Linked DNA regions of Elephas maximus indicus. The protein of the gene in region 1 binds, or shares a complex with, the protein of each later gene. Links are inferred from orthologs where the notes say so. Each region holds a gene or a part of one and is shown on either strand. Other genes may lie near its edges.

Region 1 (9,513 bases):
TTTTCAGATTCAGAGTTTCAGCTGACTATAGTTAAAGGCAATTGCTGGCCTTTAACTGAAGGTATAGATTGTGTCTATCACAAGAATATTCCAAAGAAATAGATCAGCACCTGTGTGGCAGATTACGGCCACAAATGCCCCCCATCTCAGTAAGTACAACCCTTTGCATCTAGAGTTAGAATCTATCTCTCCACAATAGAAATGTTCTAGAAGTGACATCGTGCAAATTTCATTGTATAGACCTTGAGAGGCCTTGAAGCTTTCACCTTTGCCCCTTAGAATACTGCACTGAGACCTCCATGTCTGAAGGAGCCAAGGATGAAAGATCAAATGGAGAGGTCCAAATGTCCCACCTGAGCCCAATCCTCAATTGACCTACCAGCTAAATGCAGCCATATTGAGATAGGGAAGAAAAAGGGACTGTGCCCTAGGCAAGGAACCCTGCAACACCTGCAACTTGCAACTTACTTGCAAAAATTATGTGCTTGGAGAGACTGAAAGGGCTGACTCAAGACGGGGAGAGTAAGTGGGAGTAGGGAGTGAGATGTATGTAAACTTATATGTGACAGACTGATTGGATTTGTAAACGTTCACTTGAAGCTTAATAAAAGTTATTATAAAAAAAAAAAAAAAAAAATTATGTGCTTGGCTAATAATGCAGAACACCCATCCTGGAATGTGTGATAAGAAAAAAACAAACAATGTACTTCCTTGTAAGATGTTTTTCAGAAGGACCTGCCTGATCTGGGTCCTGGAGCATGGGCAGACATCCGCAAGGGGACTGACGGATGACCTCCACCTGATGCAAGTACCCACAACAGGAACTGAGCCGGCACCACAGGAGGGACTGCACAGGCATGACACCCCATAATACGTCCGGTTACCCAGTCCCAGGAGCCTTTGCTACGGGTTGCATCTTGAATTCCAGATGCGCTCACAACCTAATTTCAGTATGCACCACCATTCTGAGAAGTATCCGCCCCTTGAAAGAAACCTACTAAATATTCATTACTGTATTATCCTCGCCAAACCCATATAAGCCCCAGAAAAACCTTTGTTCAGGGGAACAGAGGTTAGCGTTGCCTGTTCCCTCTCTCTCTGCTCGTGAGCCTTCACTTTCTTTCTGTCACTAATAAACCTTTGTTCATGTGGAACCTCTGAGCCTCTTCTGGTCGTTCTTGGTCAGTAGAAGGCAAGAACCTAGGCAGGCAACTCTTCAGACATGGATTGGACTGGACAGTGGGTTGAAGACGAATGCTGGTGAGAAGTGAGCTTCTTGAATCAGGTGGACACTTGAGACTATGCTGGCATCTCCTGCCTGGAGGAGAGATGAGACGGTAGAGGGGGTAAGAAGCTGGCGAAATGGACACGAAAAGAGAGAGTGGAGGGAGAGATAGGGCTATCTCATTAGGGGGAGAGTAATTGGGAGTATGTAGCAAGGTGTATATAAGTTTTTGTGTGAGAGACTGACTTGACTTGTAAACTTTCACTTAAAGCACAATAAAAATTATTTTAAAAAAAAAGAACCTAGGCAGGACTTAGTCCTGACCCGGGAAGCCTTGCCCTGCAACAATATGAGTGAGCCCAGGCAAGAGCAGCAGAAACCCATCCAGTTAACCCACAGAATTCTGAGAACTAATAAATCATTGTTTTAAAACCATTATTTTTTGGTGGTAGCTTGTTACCCAGCAAGAGATAACTGAAACAATCCAAAGATAGAATCCTGAGGAGTTCTAGTTTAGCCAGCCTCCAACATGACCCCTAATGATCCCTTCCTCCTGGTATTCATGCCTGTGTGTAGTCTTTTCCCACACTGTATTAGGGCTGGTCTGTGTGACCAAGATAATACAACAGAAGTGATGGCAGGCTATTTTATAAAAACACTGTGGCTTCTGCCTTGTTCACTCCTGGATCATTCACTCAAGGGAAGCCAGCTGCCATGACCTAAGAAGAGGAACTGAGACTTAGTGACATCAGCCAAGGAGTGAGCTTGGAAGCAGATCTTCTAGCCCCAGTCAAGCCTTTGGATTACCGCAGCCCCTACTGACATCTTGACTGCAATTTCATGAGAGATCCCGAGCCAGAAAAATCCAGCTAAGCCACTCCCAAATACCTGACCCACAGAAACTGTGAGATAATGAATGTTTGTTGTTTTCAGCAGCATAACTGGGGGTAAATTGTGATGCAGCAATGGATAACTAATAGAATGTAACATTTTTCATCCGTTATGTATATAAGCAGTCTCTTGTGGGAGCCTGAGTTAACAGGAATTCAGTTTGACTTACTGATGTTTTAACGTCCCTCATAGATTGATACCCTGGTGTCACGGGGCTAGGCTGCGTGTTATTCCTGCCTGGTCTCCAAAACATCTTTCACAGGATGGCCAGAATGGGCTGATCATGCCACTCCCCTGATCAAAACCCTTCCATGGTTTCCCATTGCCCAGCTTCTACCCATGTTACCAAGTAGTTTCAACAGAAGAACCAGATGGTGATATCCCTGGTCTAGTGGCCAAACAGCAGATTAGTCCAGTGGTACAGAGAAAAAGGCCCAAAGAGTGACCAAGACTGATGGCCAGGTCTCCGATGGCATCTCCTTTGGCTCCAAGGCCTTTGTCTCATTTCCCCTCTCCCCTAATCTCAGGACTACACCCAACAACACTCTCTCCCAGCACTCTAGAGAACACTGCCAAACAACTCACACTAAAAGCCATTTTTAAGAGAGTTGGAATGTCTTTAAGACTATTAAGGAGAATATTTAACATTTGAGTCTGAGACGTTAGCATTTGGATCATTCCATCTATGCTCAGCTACCCTAAGGATAGGGCTTGACTTACAACTGCAAGACTGTAAGGGTTCTGTAAAGCAATTCCTCCCAGAATAACCATCTGCTCCTTATTTTGTCTTGACCCCACAGGAAACACAGAGCACACTCAAGATAGGATAATTCAAGGAGGGTGTATTTACAAAGGACTATTTAAAAAATACTGGGTATTTTCGGGTTTAAAAATATGTGGGTATAAGAGAATCACAAGACAGTGCAGTAACCCAGGACTAGTAGCAGCCAAACTAATACTGCCCCTAGGCCCAAAAGGATGAGGGGAGGGGTCAGTTATCAGGACCTGAAAGGAAGAAGAGAGTGGTTCTGACTGAGGTAGAGCAGTGACATTTGGTTGAGGGACATAGCCAGCCTGAGGGAGTCTCTGTATCTCTTTCTTTTCCTGCTGGGGCTCCCTATTGGCCAACCAAAAGCCAAAGGGCAAGGGGGCCCAGCTGATGTGGGGATGGAAAAGGGTGAAGAGTGGATCTGGAGGACGAAACAGAGAATAGCCAGACAGCCCTCCAAGATGAGCTCCAGCCTCTATCTTTAAGACTGAAAGCATCAGATTTCTGGCTATCCTTGAAGAATCGCTTTCCCTATTTAAGCCATCAGGGTTCGGAAGGGTGACAGTCCAGTCAAGAAGTTGTCATTATTTTGTAAACGGATATTGACAGATCCAGTTTCTCACACCTTGATTTTATCAAACTCCAAACTCAAATACAGAACTATCCAGTTCATTTCTGTATACTAGTATTGCATAGTGGTCAAGAGCATGACCTACAGAGTCTAAATATCAGCTGAGCAACCAGCCAAACCAACCCAGACCACGATGAAGGAATATCCCAGAATGGCGGCTGTGCAGCAAGTCTACAGAGCAATTAATCTAGATTGAAATAAGAGGAAGGAATGTTCTGGGACAAAGACTTCAGAGAAAAATGAAATTTATATTTTTGAATATACAGAAAATATTATTGGTAGGTTTTTTTTTTTTTTTTTTTACGCAGAATCTTAGAGCACTTGGGAGGAAACAGCCAACTATAAATATATAGAAAATCAGACAAGTAAGGGTAAAAAGGCAATAATTAACCTAGGAAAAACTGAAAGGCTGTGTAAGCTAGAAGGCATGCATACAGTGCATTTCTTGGCTCCTCAATGATCAATATTTGCATACATAACAAACATTGATTATTGACTTAACCAAAAATTGTTTCTTCAGTATGTGTGGATGTGGGGGTAGGGAGGAGGAGAAGTGATGGAGACAAATTCTCACCTACCTTGGCAGGAAATCAGATAATGCTCAGAATTAACAAATCAAGAAATAGTGGTATAAGCATTTATTTAGAAATGTGGTGATAAATAGCAGGATGAATAAGAGGATATTGCCTCTGAAGAGCGGGCCAGGGAACTGCTTTTCTCACTGCAAGTCTTTTAATATTAAACCCAGTGCCGTCGAGTCGATTCCAAAGGCTTTTAATATCAGAAACCAAAAAAAAAAAAAAAAAAAGTTGTCGTGGAGTCAATTCTGACGCAAGGGGCGCACTGGTTAAGAGTTGGGCTGCTAGACAAAAGGTCGGCAGTTCCAATCCACCAGCCGTTCCCTGGAAACTCTATGGGGCAGTTAGTTCTACTCCGTCCTGTAGGGTTGCTATGAGTCAGAATATACCAGACAACAACGCGTTAGTTATTTTTAAAGTGTGTATGCGTTGGAAACCCTGGTGCCATAGTGGTTAAGTGCTACGGCTGCTTTTAGGTTCTAAAAGGTCAGCAGTTTGAATTCGCCAGGAGCTCCTTGGAAACTCTATGGGGCAGTTCTACTCTGCCCTACAGGGTCGCTATGAGTCGGACTCGATAGCAGTGGGTTTTTTTTTTTTTGGTATATGCGTTACTTTAATACAATAAATATTTTTAACACGTTAGCATATAATTTGGTAGGATCTGCAATTTCCTGAAGCTTATCCATGGCCCATAAGAAATCTTTTCTAAAGGGCTGTCTAGGCCTTGTTGATAGGGGTTAGTTTTGTGTTCCTTTTCTTGGATCCCTCCTCCCCTCAGAACACTTAACAGAAAATTAAGTATTGCATGTAGAAGGGACTCATCTAAGTCTCTTAGTCTCCCTGGGGTGGGGAGGGGGAGGGGCGGCAGATACAAAACAAGACACACAGGCGGAAGGTGCAGATGTACCACAAAGGTGAGTTCAGATTCTGCCTGAAGATGAGGTGGACGGTATGTCTCTTGCAGAGGTACTGGAACGTGAAGGTTTCCAAGGCAGAAGAGATTACGTTCAGAGCCGCGCCCGGAAGCTGCTCCCCCAGGCACAAAAATGGAGGCGTGACAGGAACCCAGGGAGGTCCATCTAAGTTGCATATTCACCTCAGTGACTTCCCATTTCTTTCTTTTATTGTCCTTTTAACAGTTTGAAGTTATATACTTCAGCGTTTACTTGTTTGTTGTCTGTTTCCTTTACCAGACCATAGGCTTCATGAGAGCAGGGCCGCGTCTATTTTTTTCACCGCTGTATCCTCTGCACAGAGAGGAAGCCCACTAAATATTTGTTGAGAAACGAAAAGGTAATGGTGCAGCTAGGCAGCCATTAGCGCGGATGAGGAAGGGATACCGAGAACGAACAGGCACCAAGAGCAAAGGGGAGATGAACTGGGAGATGACAATGGGAAGCTTCATGCGGGGATCTCTAAAATGACTAGACCGGAAAGGTAGAGCTGGACCTCTGGGACAAGCGGGAGGGAGGCGACGGACAGTGAAGAAGGCCTCAGAGAATGACAGCTGGGTAAACCACATATTTGAAGGGGCTGGATGTAAGGGGGTCTGTGGGAAAGTGGAGGCGGGACGACGGCATCACGAGTGCGCAAGCGCGGCCTCGGTCCGCAGGCGTGCCTGCGTGCGCGTGCACGAGGGGTCGGAGCGGAATTGGCGCCGCGGGGCCGCGCGTAGGGCGGCGAGCGGAAGTGGGTGTGAGAGCGGAAGTGACCGGCTAGAGCCGGGGGCTGGGCGGGGACCGGGCTTGTTGGTGAGGCGGCGGCGGCGGCTCGGCAGGCGGGTTGAGGCTTCCGGGGCCAGGTCGGTCGGGTGGGTGGGTGGGTGTCTCCACAGTGTGTGCGTGCGCGGGCTAGCGCGCGTGTCCTTCCCTTCCCCCCCATCCCGGCCCCTCTCCCCTTTTCCCTTCACTTACTACTCCACCCAGGCCCCCTTGTCAGGGGCAGCAGGGCCGCTCCCTCTGTCCTTCCCTCCTTTACCCATCCTCACCCGCCTCGTTTCTCCTTCCCCTGCCCGGGGCAGCCGCCGCCATGATCCTGCTGGAGGTGAACAACCGCATCATCGAGGAGACGCTCGCGCTGAAGTTCGAGAACGCGGCCGCCGGGTGAGCGCGCGCCCGGGGCCAGGGGTGGCAGCGGAGGCAGAGCTCACCCCCGCCAATCCCCAGTATCATCCAGGGTCCCCACACCTGGAGGAGGGAGATGGGGGGCCTGGCAGGGTGTGGGGGCCGCCCTGGCGGTGGAGACGTGGGCGCGGCGGGGTGAGGGGCAGAGAGAGATGCGTGGGGCGAGGCTCAGAGGAGGGATGCGGAAGCAGTGAGTGGACAGTAGTGCGCGTGCCAAAGGGAGACCTGTAGGGCATGAGGGCAGCTTGGGCCTGAACTCACTGGAGGATGCCTTTGCCCTCTGGAGCGAGGAGGGGACCCCTTCCCTCTGTTGTTCCCGTCATTGTTCTGAACCCGAAGAGAGCCCATTTGGGATTGGGTTGGAAGTTTTCAGGGATTCCCAGGAATGGAGGAGGGAAGAAGATACAGGCCTAGATTAGCACCTGCATTCTTGCTCTCCACCCCACCTCCTCCCTAAAGGAGCTAGAGGGAAGACTGGAAGCACTGGCTTCCTTCCCATCGATTCCATCTCCCCAATCAGACCCAGCCGTACAACCGGAAAAACGCGATTTCTATAATTTCCCTTTCCCCGGACCCTACTGTAAGAAGAAACTGGCCATTTTGTTACATATTTCTCAGAGTTGACAGTCCCTCCATCCACATCCATCCATTCCTTATCTGTCTTCTGAGGTTCTAATGCTACTTTCCCCACCCATTAGCCATTATTTGGTTATCTTGAAATTCTTGGTGCAGGACCCCTGGCCCGTGATTTCTTCTGTGATAGTCTTGGCCCAGTGACACACTTCTGAGCCGCCTAGGTCTGTAAAGTTCTTAGATAACCTTCATTGTTGGCCTTTTTAAAGATGGGCTTAGAACATTTTTCTAAGGCAGTCTTCTCAGTTGAACACAAGCATCAGTAGAAGACAAACAGCCCCCTCCCCCAGAGCTGCTTTGGGTTTCTAATATAGTATTTAAAATATGAGGCCAAGGAATTGGCTTTATCTTCTAATTTTTAGTGGCCTGTGGCCAGTCCTTTTGCTTCATTTCCCCATCTGTGAGGATGGGGCTTCACATCTTAGTTTCAGTTGAGGAACTGGATGCAAAGTGTCTATGATGAACTGGGAAGTAATAATAGGAAAGTAAATGCTTAGAGATCCACAGATGGGAGAGGCTTGCTGGAGGGGACATTCTGAGTAATCGTAATGGACTTGTGGCTTGGAGGCAATTAAAAAAAAAAAAAAGCTCTTCTAACTCACTGCTTAAATTGAATGTATTGTGAGTCTTATGAGTCTTATCTATTTTTTAAGCCCACAGATTTTATCTGTAAAACAAAGCACGGACTATTCCTTGAAGTAATGACATGCAGTGAGCAGTACTGTTTCTTGCCAGGGATGATAGTCGCTTATATTTTAGGCTAACTTGCTTCTTCTTTTCAGTCTATCATGCCATTTCCTTTGCACTTTAAATAATTCAAGTGAATCAGCCTAGGGTCTTTTTTGGGTGATTGCTGTGTACTTTTTTTGAGCAGTGTAGCACATAGGAGGAAGTTGAGCTAACTTCTGCATTTTCACAACTGATCTTAATGCATTCTCAAGTCCAGACTAGCAAAGAATGAGACCTGAGTGGCTGTAAGCAGATCCGCCTGTGGATTTTCAAGTAGAGGCCTGCCTTGTATGCAGGAGTACCTTCACATCTATTTGTGTATTAATAACTTGTGATTCCCAAATGTGGCCCATTGTTCAGAACTTCCAGCTGGTTTTCTTTTAGAAAATTACTCTTAGAAAGAGCAGCTAACCATTTCAGAGGGGTTAAAGCAGGCCCTCAAGTCAGGAAGGGGTAAGTTAGAACTTCCAAGACATTCGTTAAAAGATTTGTGTTGTATTGATGTTGGATATGAGGGAGGGTGTTGAGCTTTCGCTTTTATTGTATGCCCACTTATTTAAAGTAGTTTAAATAAGTGGGCTTAAAACATATTCTGCTGAAAAGCTCTTGGGAAATCTTTGAAAAGAGACCGTAATATTCAGACCTACTAGGTAGGGCTTTTCTGGGATTGCAGATGTACTCTAAGCAGAAGCCTAATTTCAAGCCAAGTGTGCTTTTCCAGGCATACCAGTAAGGTAAGGCACCGATGAAGCAGTTAAATATTTATCACAGTGCATGTCTACACCAGAACTTCCACAAAGGATGACTGCTATGAGAATCATAAACATATATGGGATTCTGCCGGTACTCAAAGGAGCCTTGGTGGCACAGTGAGTGGTTAAGCACTTGGCTGCTGACCGAAAGATTGGAGGTTTGAACACACCAGTCGTTCTGCGGGAGAAAGATGTGGTAGCCTGCTTCCGTAAAGATCACAGCCTTAGAAACCCTGTGGGGCAGTTCTGCTCGGTACTATAGGGTCGCTATGATTCAGAAATGACTCAAGGGCAGTGGGTTTGGCTTTGGTTTTTACCAGCACTCAACACCAGGCAGGAGCAAAAAAGAAAAAAAGAAGCCGGCCTTTCTGAGAGAGCATGTTGGCAAAGTTACAGAGAAGCTAAGGGGTGAGATGTGCTGGGGTGGAAGATAGAGAAAGACCTTAAAGAAAAATGCTGAGAGTTTGAAAGGTGGTGCCAAGTGTGGGAGCCTCCTGGAAGAGGGCAGTTCCACCCTGCTTTACACATCTTCCAAACCTGTTGCCTTTGAGTCAATTCCAACTCATAGTGACCCTATAGGACAGATTAGAACTGCCATTTAGGATTTCCAAGGAGCAGGTGGTGGATTCGAACTGCCAACCTTTTGGTTAGCAGCTGAGTTCTTAACCACTGTGCTGCCAGAGCTCCTTAAAGTTCTTAGAGCAGACCAGCTGGGAAAGTTATGGTTCAAAGCAACCTTTTCCAGAGTGGGTCTTCCAGCTCTGCACTGTCTAATACGGTAGCCACTAACTACATATGGCTGTTTAAATAAAAAGTAATTAAAAGGTAATAAATTAAAAATCAAGTCCCTCGGTCACACCAGCCATATATCTAGTGCTCAGTGACCACGTGTAGTTACTGTATTGGACGGTGCAGATGCAGAACGTTTCCATTGTTGCTTGAAGTTCTTTTTGTTGGGCAGCATTGTTCCAGCTCCTGAAAACGTAGCATTGAGATACTGTGAAGATAGTCCTGTGGTATATATACTTCAGAATGCAGTTGGCGTTAGTTTTCCTTTTGGGGTTTATTTGTGTGTGTGTGTGTGTTTTTGGTCAAAGTTTATGCAAGAAATTAGGCTCTCATTTAATTAACAATTTCTGTACATATTGTTCAGTGATACTGGTTACATTCTTCGCAATATAT
Region 2 (10,265 bases), on another chromosome or scaffold:
CAGGGGATTAGTTATGTATCAACCACAGCATATCAATAAGCAGCTATTAAAAATGATTACATTATTAAAGATTATTTCCTTATTACTAAGGAAAGAACTTCATGTATATCGCTCTACAGTTGAAAAAGGTTGTAAAACTCCATTAAAAAAAAAAAAAAAACAAAACCAGAAAGAAATCTACAAGCATACAGCCACACCAAAAGGTAACAACTGCTATCTCTGGGTGGTGGGATTATGGGTCAGTACCTTTTTAATCCCCCCATATCTGTTTTCTATAATAAATATTTAGTACTAGTTTGATTTTTAATAAATCTTCTAAAAGCATGCAAACAGTGTGTTTATTTTTGTAAATGTTTTACTTATTCTTTGTTTAAATTCAACCTGCGGGGCCTCCTCTAAAAATGCCCACAGGAGTGGCCTCTCTGTCATTTGAACTTTTTGAACTTACTGTGTATACCATGTAGCACTGTCATAACTCAACGCAAATGTTATTTTTTATAAATTTTAACTTAGCAAACTAAACTATAAGCTCTTTCATGTCAAAGAGAGGGAATAATTAAAATATCTGTTGATTCTGTGAAACTTCAAATGCTTTTGGTATGAATAAAGATGTCAGCAAGGACCATCTTGCTGTCTGTGACTCACCTTCACCGCCTGACTCTTGGTGTTGATAGGGGGGTTTTTCAAAGCTGCTTGTAGGGCGGCTGTCATGTTTCCTGTGAGGGAAGTTAAGGGGATAACAGCAAAGAGCAGCCCTCAGGTAAGCTTTATAACTTTCAAGAACCATTGGTTTTTAGGACCTGAGTTTATGTACAAAGAGAAAAAATTGCTACAGTCACGATGTTCTTCAATATTGGAAATTCAATCCATTGATTTCAAGGATGTCAATCAAAGGTAAAATACTGAAAACAAAAGAGAACATTAGCCTTAAGACTATTTCACCTTTGGTTCTTAACTATCAAGGAGCCCTGGTGGCACAGTGGTTAAGCACTTGGCTGCTAACTGAAAGGTCACTGGTTCGAAAGCTCTAAGGCTCCAAGGAGAAAGACGCAGCAGTCTGCTTCCGTAAAGATTAAGCCATTGCCACTGAGTTGATTCAGACTCATACAGCCTTGGAAACCCTACGGGGCAGTTCTACTCCGCCCTATAGGGTCACTACGAGTTGAAATTTACTCAATGGCAATGGGTTTAGTTTTTTTTTTTTTCGGTTCTCAACTGTCAAATGAATGCCTTTCACTCTCCCATGAGACACATATGCACATTATCCAGAGTGGTACTAAAGAAAATCTAAAAGGTATATTAAAAAAGGTATATTAGAATTATTAAATTCCAAAGTGAAACAGCCTGTCATCAATCAAAATACATCTTTTTACGATTTTAACTGAGGGGGGAAAAAAAGACTGAACTTTTACTAGAACTATATTCTGTATTAATTAAAATGCTGGTCGAAAATGCTGGTAGGGTACCCTGGTAATCTGAATGATAAAAACCCACACCAATAATCTCTTAGTATTGATAAGAAGAGGCATTACAGACAGTGTAATAATTCATATGACCCTTAGGTGGCAGCTTAAATTCTCTGTTTTGGGTATTTTCTTTCATATTTCATAAAGGTTATTCAAACCGCCTTAGACTATATTTATTAAACTCAGTCCCTCTATGAAAGCACCAGTGAGTAAGCCAACACGAGAAACGCTAGGCCAATCATACTGTTAGAATGTACAGTCATTCCCCTATAAGGAAAACCACACAGAGTTCACTTGTTCCTCCATCTCTGGTGCTTGACTCCCTCTGTGCAGGCAGGGCTGTCTCCCTTGGTTGTCACAAGGGTAGGAGAAACAATATCTTTATGTTTTAAGATGAACTAATTCAAAAGCAGGCCCCGCTGATATTGATACAGCGGTACCGTTTAAGAGTCATTACAAATCACCTAAAATACGTTAATCTCACAAAATATCTATTCATCACAAAGAATGATTTAAAAAAAGAATAATAGTCACCACTTATCTTCTGCAGGGAAAGGTCTGACAAATACAGTTGGTGGTATAAACTTATTTTCAAGGCTGCATGAACTTCTAGAGAAGCATGCCTTTTGTAGGCTCATTAAGGTGCAAAAACCTTTACAAAATTTAAATAATGCAAAATAGTAACCGCTGATTGTGAAGGGGGCAGAAACCAATGGAACATCCATATGTTCCTGAATGTTAAGTGCGGCATTTTAGGTGCCTTTATACACCAAAACTAAAAAAAGTAACAACCAACCCCGTTGCCCTGGAGTCGATTCTGATTCATAGTGACTCTATAGGACAGAGTAGGCTGCCCCCCAGTTTCCAAGGAGCGCCCGGTGAATTCGAACTGCGGACCTTTTGGTTAGCAGCCGAACTCTGTGACCACTAGAACTCTGTGACCACTACGCCACCAGGGTTTCCAAGACTGGATACAGTTGTTACCAAATACTTTCATTCATACATTTTCTCCTTTAAAGTTTAATGGGACATCGTGAGGAAAGGGTATAAAAAGCTTTCTTTATCTTACCCATACGCTCAAGAAAAATTCGAAAAGCATTAAGTTCAGTCATTGAGAACCTCTAAAACTACACCTTCTGTTACTGCAACATCTACATTTTTCTAAAAAGATCTGATGCAAGTGTTAATTACAAGTTATGAATATTCAAACATGCAAAAATCAAAACCAGGAACTGACAGCTACGCTTTAAAATGGAAACAATTTCAGGATTACAAAAGCGATTCTGCTTTACACAAACGACTTATCTTCTATTTATTGGGGTTTATTTGAAGTACTTCTTGGGATTCTGCACATGCATTCCCCGTTTTCTTTGTATTGTCCTTTTAGCAAGTAAAGGGCTTCAAGCTTCCTTTCTGGGAGTTTTGAGGTTTTTGTACTCACTTCCCTCCTCCGATTAACAAATTCTGTGCAACCTGTATTTTGCCAGTTTTTTTCTCGTTTTAAAAAAACGGAAGAAAAGAAAAAAGTTCACAGGCTGAAAAGACACAGGGCTTCAATTCTGCCAACCACCCCAATCCTCCCGGAAATAATAAACTAGGCTAACGTTACCCGAAACAAATCAACAAACCAACAAACCACTACCACCCTTTCTCCCCACCCAAACCCCTACAGACACCGGCCATCAGCACTTTCTGGCTAACGTGACCCAGAAGCGCCATTCTGGGGAGGAACAGCTGACCTGCCGCGGCACTACCCAGCGCCAGATGCCGCCCCAGCGCCTCGAGGGCGCGGCCAGCAGAGCGGGCTCCCGGGGGCAGGCACTCTGCGCGCCACCTGAGGAACCGGGGCGTGGGAGGCGCCGCGCCAAGGGCAGGTCGCCGAGGGCGGGAGCCTGCAGTCCCGAGGCGGCTCGGTTAGAACCGGGAGAGCCTCTCTCTGAGTCTCAGAGTGGGGGACCCCAATGGGACAGGCTCACCGCGGGCCGCAGGCGGCAGCTCCGCGCCCGTCCCCGCGAGGAGACCGTGGTCCTCGGACTCTGCAGGGCGGCGGGGTCCGGGGAGAGGGGCCGGGGGCGGAGGAGCCAGCGCAAGGATATTGTCGCAGGCAGGAGTCCACCTCGCCCTCGTCGGGCCCGGCTTGGCCGTCGCCCCCGTCCTCCTCGTCCACGAACTTGTTCTCGTCGTACTCATCCACGTCCACCTTCCGGAACCGGGCCGACGACACCGTGTTCTTCGACATCCCCAAACCCCACCGGTGGCAAAGGCCTCCCCTCGGTGCTACCTTTACTACAGCAACCCCAGTCCAGCAGGAACCCGCAGGCTGGCGCCTCCACTTCCCTCTTCCGCTCAGGGGCGTCGCCGGCAGAAGCGGCTCAGCCGGTTCTGAGCCTGCGCGCCGGCCCCGCTCCTGCCTCCTCGGCCTCAGGCCCTACTCTAGCCTCCCACGCCGCCCCCGCGCTCCCGGGGAGCGCGCGCCGGAGAAGGAGCGGGCGCCGGGGAGGGAGCGGGCGAAGGAGGGAGCGGGCGCGCGGGAGGGAGCGCGCGCCAGGGAGGGAGCGGGCGCCAGGGAGGGAGCGCGCGCGGGAGGGAGCGGGCGAAGGAGGGAGCAGGCGCGCGGGAGGGAGCAGGCGCGCGGGAGGGAGCGCGCGCCAGGGAGGGAGCGGGTGCGCGGGCGCCAGGGAGGGAGCGCGCGCCAGGGAGGGAGCGGGCGCCAGGGAGGGAGCGGGCGCGCCGGAGGGAGCAAGCGCCAGGGAAGGGGCGCGCCAGGGAGGGAGCGCGCAGGACCCCACGCGCAGACGCGGACTCTCTGCAGGAAAGGGGTGGGGCCAGGAGAAGGGGCGGGGGCGGGATAAGAGGGAAGGCGGAAAGCCGTACCGCGGACAGAGGGGAGCGGCGATTGGTCGCCCGAGTGCATCACGTGGTGCCCAGGGGGTTCCCATAGAAACGCTTCTCTGCGGTCCAGCCTGGTGGCGGGGGGGTCCTAGGTTGGCGGCTATGGGCACCGGGGGCGGGTGGCTTTGGCTTTTGCTGCCGCTACCGCCGCCGCTGAGCAGTCATTGGAGTCCTGCGTAAGGTCCGGCTGGCCCCGACTTGCCAGTGCGGTGGGATGGACTGGTTGCCGGACCCAGCCCCCTGCAGCTGGCAGGAGTATGGGGCGGAGTGGTGCACTCCCGTGTGCCCAGCATCGTGCTAGTTGTCGAAGACATCGCTTCGGAACGCGCTCCACCCGGGGTGCATTCCCCAGCTGGGAGCCCTTTCCCCGAGGGTAGAACTACGCTGCAGGGCCAGTCAGAGGCTTCCAAGGACGGAGTCAAAAGGTCATATCTTATCTCTCAGTGCTGGTGACAGCATCGTGACGGGACCTGCAGAACCTAAACTCGGTATCATATCTATCGGGAGGGAGGGGAAGATGTCTGGGCAGGGCTGGAGTCAGGTGGCAAAACTGGGGTGAACGTGTAGAATTTGGGGTAGGATCATTCATCATTGATATCTTAAAATAAGTGGTTGGAGCAAGAATGCTAGAGAAAGGTGGGGCGAGGTAGGCTCTGGTGCTGAAGGAAAACCAAATGTTTATGGATTAGTAGAAACCAGTCTTTAAGATTTGTATTTATGAATTACATGACTCCACTAGACCAGCTTCTTAATTATATTTGACATCCTAGTATCTGAGAGCATAAGAGGTAAAGCCACTAAGGACATGGTAGTTGTGCTGTGTATTACACTGAAGTACAAATTAATGATAAGCCCAAATATTTGCAGAATACAATTAATTTGGACATTTCGTTGGACATTGCCCAGGTGGTTTCATATTTTCCTGCCATCCTATGAGTCCAGTTTAGTTCCACCTCTGGGAGAAGGCTGGCTGTTGCCCCTGTTGAGTACTCCAATCCTTGTTTTCCTGTGGTGTATTGAAAAGAGTCCTGGGCTTAGAATCAGAAGACCCTGGCTTGAGTCTTGGTTCTTTCACTCATCATCTGTTTGGTTGAGGCATGCCACTTAAAATTCTGAATCTCAGGTTCTTTATCGCAAAAATGGGGATAGTAATGATTACTTCACTAGATTGTTCTGAGGTTTAAATACACAAAAGTGTTTTGAAGCTCTAAAATTGTACATATATGTAAAATGCTTATTACCTGTACCATTGGCTTTGGCATTAGCCTTCTAGCTTACTTAATGATATATCATGTTTTATCTTGCTCTTCGGAGAGATTGCAAGATTCTGGATGACAGAGACCTGTCTTATATTTATTTTGCATCTTCCTTTACCTGCAGAAGGTACTGAATAAATGTTTGATGAATGGATGAAGTGTGAAAGGCAGTACAGGTTGAGGATCACACTGAGAATAATGAATAAGTAAGAAGAGAAAGATGTCAAATTAAACCTTATGTCATATATATATACAGAGAGAGAAAGGACAAGGGAGGACAGGAGAGAGAGAAAGAGGGAGAGACAGACAGACACTCCTCAAGAATGGAATGCATCCTTTTTCCTTGGGAGGAAAAAGCAATGTGGCTTTTTTCTTTTCCCAATAAAATGCCCATTCTAGAAGACAGAATTTAGATGATAAAAGCGACATTTCCTTAAATTGACATTCAAATTACAAACTCCCCTAGAATTCTCTTAAAACAGCAAAGGAAAATTTTCTAGCTGTTGGTAATATTTATTTTAAAATGTCATATTTCAAAGTATCAGGTTATTACTATGTTGAATGGCATTATATAACTTAGAATGTAGATGTATTTAAATATTTTTTCTCAGTTTCAGTCTTTTGCTAACTTTAGTATGAGCTAAACAATATTCTTCTTGAGATGCTAAAGACTGTACTTTTTGTTCTTTTAAATCAAGATTTTTCTTAAAGAGAAAATTGCGCATTAAAAGCACTGTTGAACAAATGGGAACAAAGATTCAAGACCTAACTCATTCCTTTTCTTACGTTTCTATTCTTTTGTATTCTTATCTAGGAAATTTCTTTTTGTCTTATTTTAGAACTGGGAAAGACTCCCTTGATAGAAATCAATTTAAGAGAATAGTGAGAAGACTTTAAAAAATTGGGGATGCTCATGGGTGTAATTGTTTTGATTGCTCAGAATGTGTTGAATGTCTTAAATGTAATTAATTCTCAGCCCCAAAATGTGTATTACATTTCAGATGTCAAAAGGTCTTTTTCCAATGCAGTATTTTTTATTGTCTCACAATGATCTAAGTGCCTAGTGTATCAGGCACTCAATAAATTTCTATCAAGTAAATTTATGATCTGACAAGTAACTTTAGGGATCGCATTTAGAGACTGAGTATTTTTGAATGGATACGTTAATATTGCTCCCTATGCTCCGCTAGCTAATAGTTAAATAGTTATACAGCTTTAGGGAAACTGTTTTGGGGGAAGAAACTCATTCTTAATTATCTTTTAATTAAAAAATTATTATCTCAGTTACTTAATGTTAACCATAATAGTTAATTCATTTTAGGTACTAGGATTCTGCCTATTTTAGTATTTTAAATGAGTACTTACCCTGACATAAACTATTCATAAGGTTTTAAGACTTTTTCTTTTTTGTGCTTTAGATGAAGGTTTACAGAACAAACTAGTTTCTCTTTAAACCGTTAGTACACATATTGTTTTGTGACATTACTTACCAACCCCATGACGTGTCAACACTCTCCCTTCTAGACTTTGGACTCCCTATTCCCAGCTCTCCTGTCCCCTCTTGCCTTCCAGTCCTTGCCCCTGGGCTGGTGTGCCGCTTTGGTCTTGTTTGTTTTATGGGCCTGTCTAATCTTTGGCTGAAGGGTGAACCTCAGAAGTGACTTCAGTACTGAGTTAAAAGGGTGTCCGGGAGCCCTGCTCTCAGGGTTTCTCCAGTCTTTGTCAGGCCAGTAAGTCTGATCTTTTTTTTGTGAGTTAGAATTTTGTTCTACATTTTTGTACAGCTCTATCCAGGATCCCCTATTGTGATCTCTGTCAGAGCAGTCAGCGGTGGTAGCCGGGCACCATCTAGTTATACTGGGCTCAGCCTGGTAGAGGCTGTGGTAGTTGTGGTCCATTAGTCCTTTGGACTAATCTTTCCCTGTGTCTTTAGTTTTCTTCATTCTCCCTTGCTCCCAATGGAGTGAGACTAGTGGTGTATCTTAGATGGTCGCTGACAAGCTTTTAAGACCTCAGACGCCACTCACTAAAGTAGAATGTAGAACATTTTCTTTATAAACTATGTTATGCCAGTTGAGCTAGATGTTCCCCAAGACTGTGGTCCGAACAGCCCTCGACCTAGTAATTCGGTCCCTCAGGGAGTTTTGATGTGTCTGTGGAGCTTACATGATCTTGCCTCATACAAGTTGTGCTGGCTTCCCCCAGCATTGTGTACTGAAGACATTTTATTGTGCAAAATAACCTGGTTGGCCCAATAGGAAAGCAAGATTGAATCTGAGTTTTCTCAAGGTTTATGCTACATGCTGGCATGTAGCTCCTTTTTGTGTGATGATGCAAAGAACAAGGATCCTTTTAATTAAAAGGGATTTTGATAAAATTATAATAGGTCTTTCTTTTCACATTTTAAAAACCAAGTACTCTCCTACTATGTGCGTTTTCCCCCAGAATTGCCACTAAGTACTTAAAAAAACAAACCAAGACATTGAACCCTGCAAGCATGGCACTATTATTTTATTATTGGAAATGAAAATATACTCCATTTTAATCAAATATGTCAAATGTATATTATACATATAAAATAAAGGTAAAACTCAGCTCTGGTAATGATGATTTAATATCATTATTCCCTATTGACATTTCTGTAATATAAAGATCCTTATCGTATTACCCATAAACTGTATAATGGTTTAATTTACTCCTACTTCATGCTCAAATCAACTGTTTCTGTGCTGAAACAACCAACCTTCAAAATTTCAAGTTTTTTCTTATTATTTTTAGCGTTACATAAGTTTATGATTACTCACTGAAATAGATAGGGTGAAATATTTTTCAGTAGGGCCTTTAATTAGATAATAATACTTCGCAAAGATTTAAAAAACTATAAATCGTACTCTTGTCTCAGGATAAATAGTGCTGAATGAAAGAGTGAACATTGTTTTTGAAACATTGTTGTAAATGAGCCTTTTTTTCCATTTAATTTTATATTCCCTGAGGATATAGGAAACTCTGGTGGCATAGTGGTTAAGAGCTAAGGCTGCTAACCAAAAGGTCAGCAATTTGAATCTGCCAGGCACTCCTTGGAAACTCTATCGGGCAGTTCTACTCTGTTCTATAGGTTTGCTATGAGTTGGAATCGACTTGATGGCAGTGGGTTTTTTGGTTTTGTTTATGAGGATATAAGGAGCCCTGGTGGCGTAATGGTTAAAAGCTCAGCTGCTAAGCAAAAGGTTGGCAGTTTGAATCCACTAGCAGCCTTTGGAAACTCCACAGGGCGGTTTTACTCTCTCCTATAGGGTCTTTTTATAGGGTCACTATGAGTTGAAATTGACTTGACGGCAATGGGTTTTGGTTTAGTTTATGATGATTTAAAGGGAACCTATTGATTTAAAAAATATTTATTTATCCTTTATTCTTTCCCATTACTGGGATCGCTTATTAATAATAGTTGCTTTAAGGTTATATCAAACTATTTGAAATAATGATAATTTACATTTTCCTTTCTAATATTTATATTCATTTATTTTTCTTATTACATTAAGTAGAATCTTGAAAACGGTATTGAGAAATTGGGTGAAAGTAGGCTTCCATGCTTTGTTCCTGTTTCAATGGAAATATCTTTGGTATTTCACTAGTTGATATTATATTTATTATTGCTTTGTGATCTTTAGGAATGACTGCTTAATTTATCAAATGCCTTTGTGAGTATCTAATGGTAAAAGTCATATCATTTTAAACTTTAAATTTATTAATGTAATGAATTATATAGTTTTCTACATTGAAACATTCCCACATTCCTAGCATACACTCTATTTGGTTTTTGAATGTTATTCTTTTAATTCCTTCCTGGATTTGATTAGCTTATATTTCATTTATATGGTTCGGAATCTATGTTTTTAAGTAAGATTGGTTCATAGTTTCATTTTTTTATCTGGTTTTGATATTGGGGTTAGTCTAGCTTTGTCAAATGAATTGGGAAGATTTACATGTTTTTCTTATGGTCTGGAATAGTTTCAAGTAATAGAAAGTTCCCATGCTACTTGTTCGTTGAACGTTACAGAATGTACCTGCAAAACTATCTGAGCTTGCTGATCTTTTTAGAGGTAGGTCTTTGGTCATCTTTATTTTCTATGGTTATTGATTTGTTCATTGGCTGAAAGTGATTTATATTTTCCTTATTTGGAGTTTCCACATGTGTGTTGGTGGTGATACTCTTTAATGTCACCATTGCCAGTTTGCTGAAGTGGGGTGGAACATTCCAACTTCTCCCCTCCCTGAATCTCTGGGCCAGCTTAACATGACCAGGAATCCGTTGGGTAGCAAGCAGGAGACTGAGCAATATGGGAAGAAAGACCTAGTTACTGCCCTGTAAGATCTCACTCTGTGGACCTGTTACTCAGCTATATGCCAATTTATAGCAAACAGAGCTGAAAGGAACCTTAAAGATGAGCTAGCTCACTTTTTCCCATTTTACAGATAGAAAAACAGAGGTTACTTGACTACAGCCATATTTTCTTTATGCTCTCTTAATAGTCTCTAAGGCTTCAGTATATTGACCTGGTCTCAAGTGATCTTTCAGTAACTTTCCTCTCTTCCTAGCCTGAGTCTCCTCTAACCAGTACAAAAATTTAACTGCAAAAGGTACTTTGTTTCA

What was found. The genes of interacting proteins can lie anywhere in the genome.
Region 2: ARPC2 (region 1) and ARPC5 share a complex: the UniProt entries of both Homo sapiens proteins name them as parts of the arp2/3 complex. The link is inferred for Elephas maximus indicus from reciprocal best matches to the Homo sapiens genes ARPC2 and ARPC5.

Annotation. Positions count from the first base shown.
Region 1 is NC_064824.1:116,782,410-116,791,922, forward strand, and holds the start of ARPC2 (actin-related protein 2/3 complex subunit 2), read left to right. Parts: upstream 1-5,793; 5' UTR 5,794-5,895; intron 5,896-6,114; 5' UTR 6,115-6,122; coding exon 6,123-6,196; intron 6,197-9,513. UniProt on the Homo sapiens protein: Actin-binding component of the Arp2/3 complex, a multiprotein complex that mediates actin polymerization upon stimulation by nucleation-promoting factor (NPF).
Region 2 is NC_064842.1:47,116,527-47,126,791, forward strand, and holds the start of ARPC5 (actin-related protein 2/3 complex subunit 5), read right to left. Parts: upstream 3,950-10,265; 5' UTR 3,706-3,949; coding exon 3,562-3,705; intron 718-3,561; coding exon 646-717; intron 1-645. UniProt on the Homo sapiens protein: Component of the Arp2/3 complex, a multiprotein complex that mediates actin polymerization upon stimulation by nucleation-promoting factor (NPF).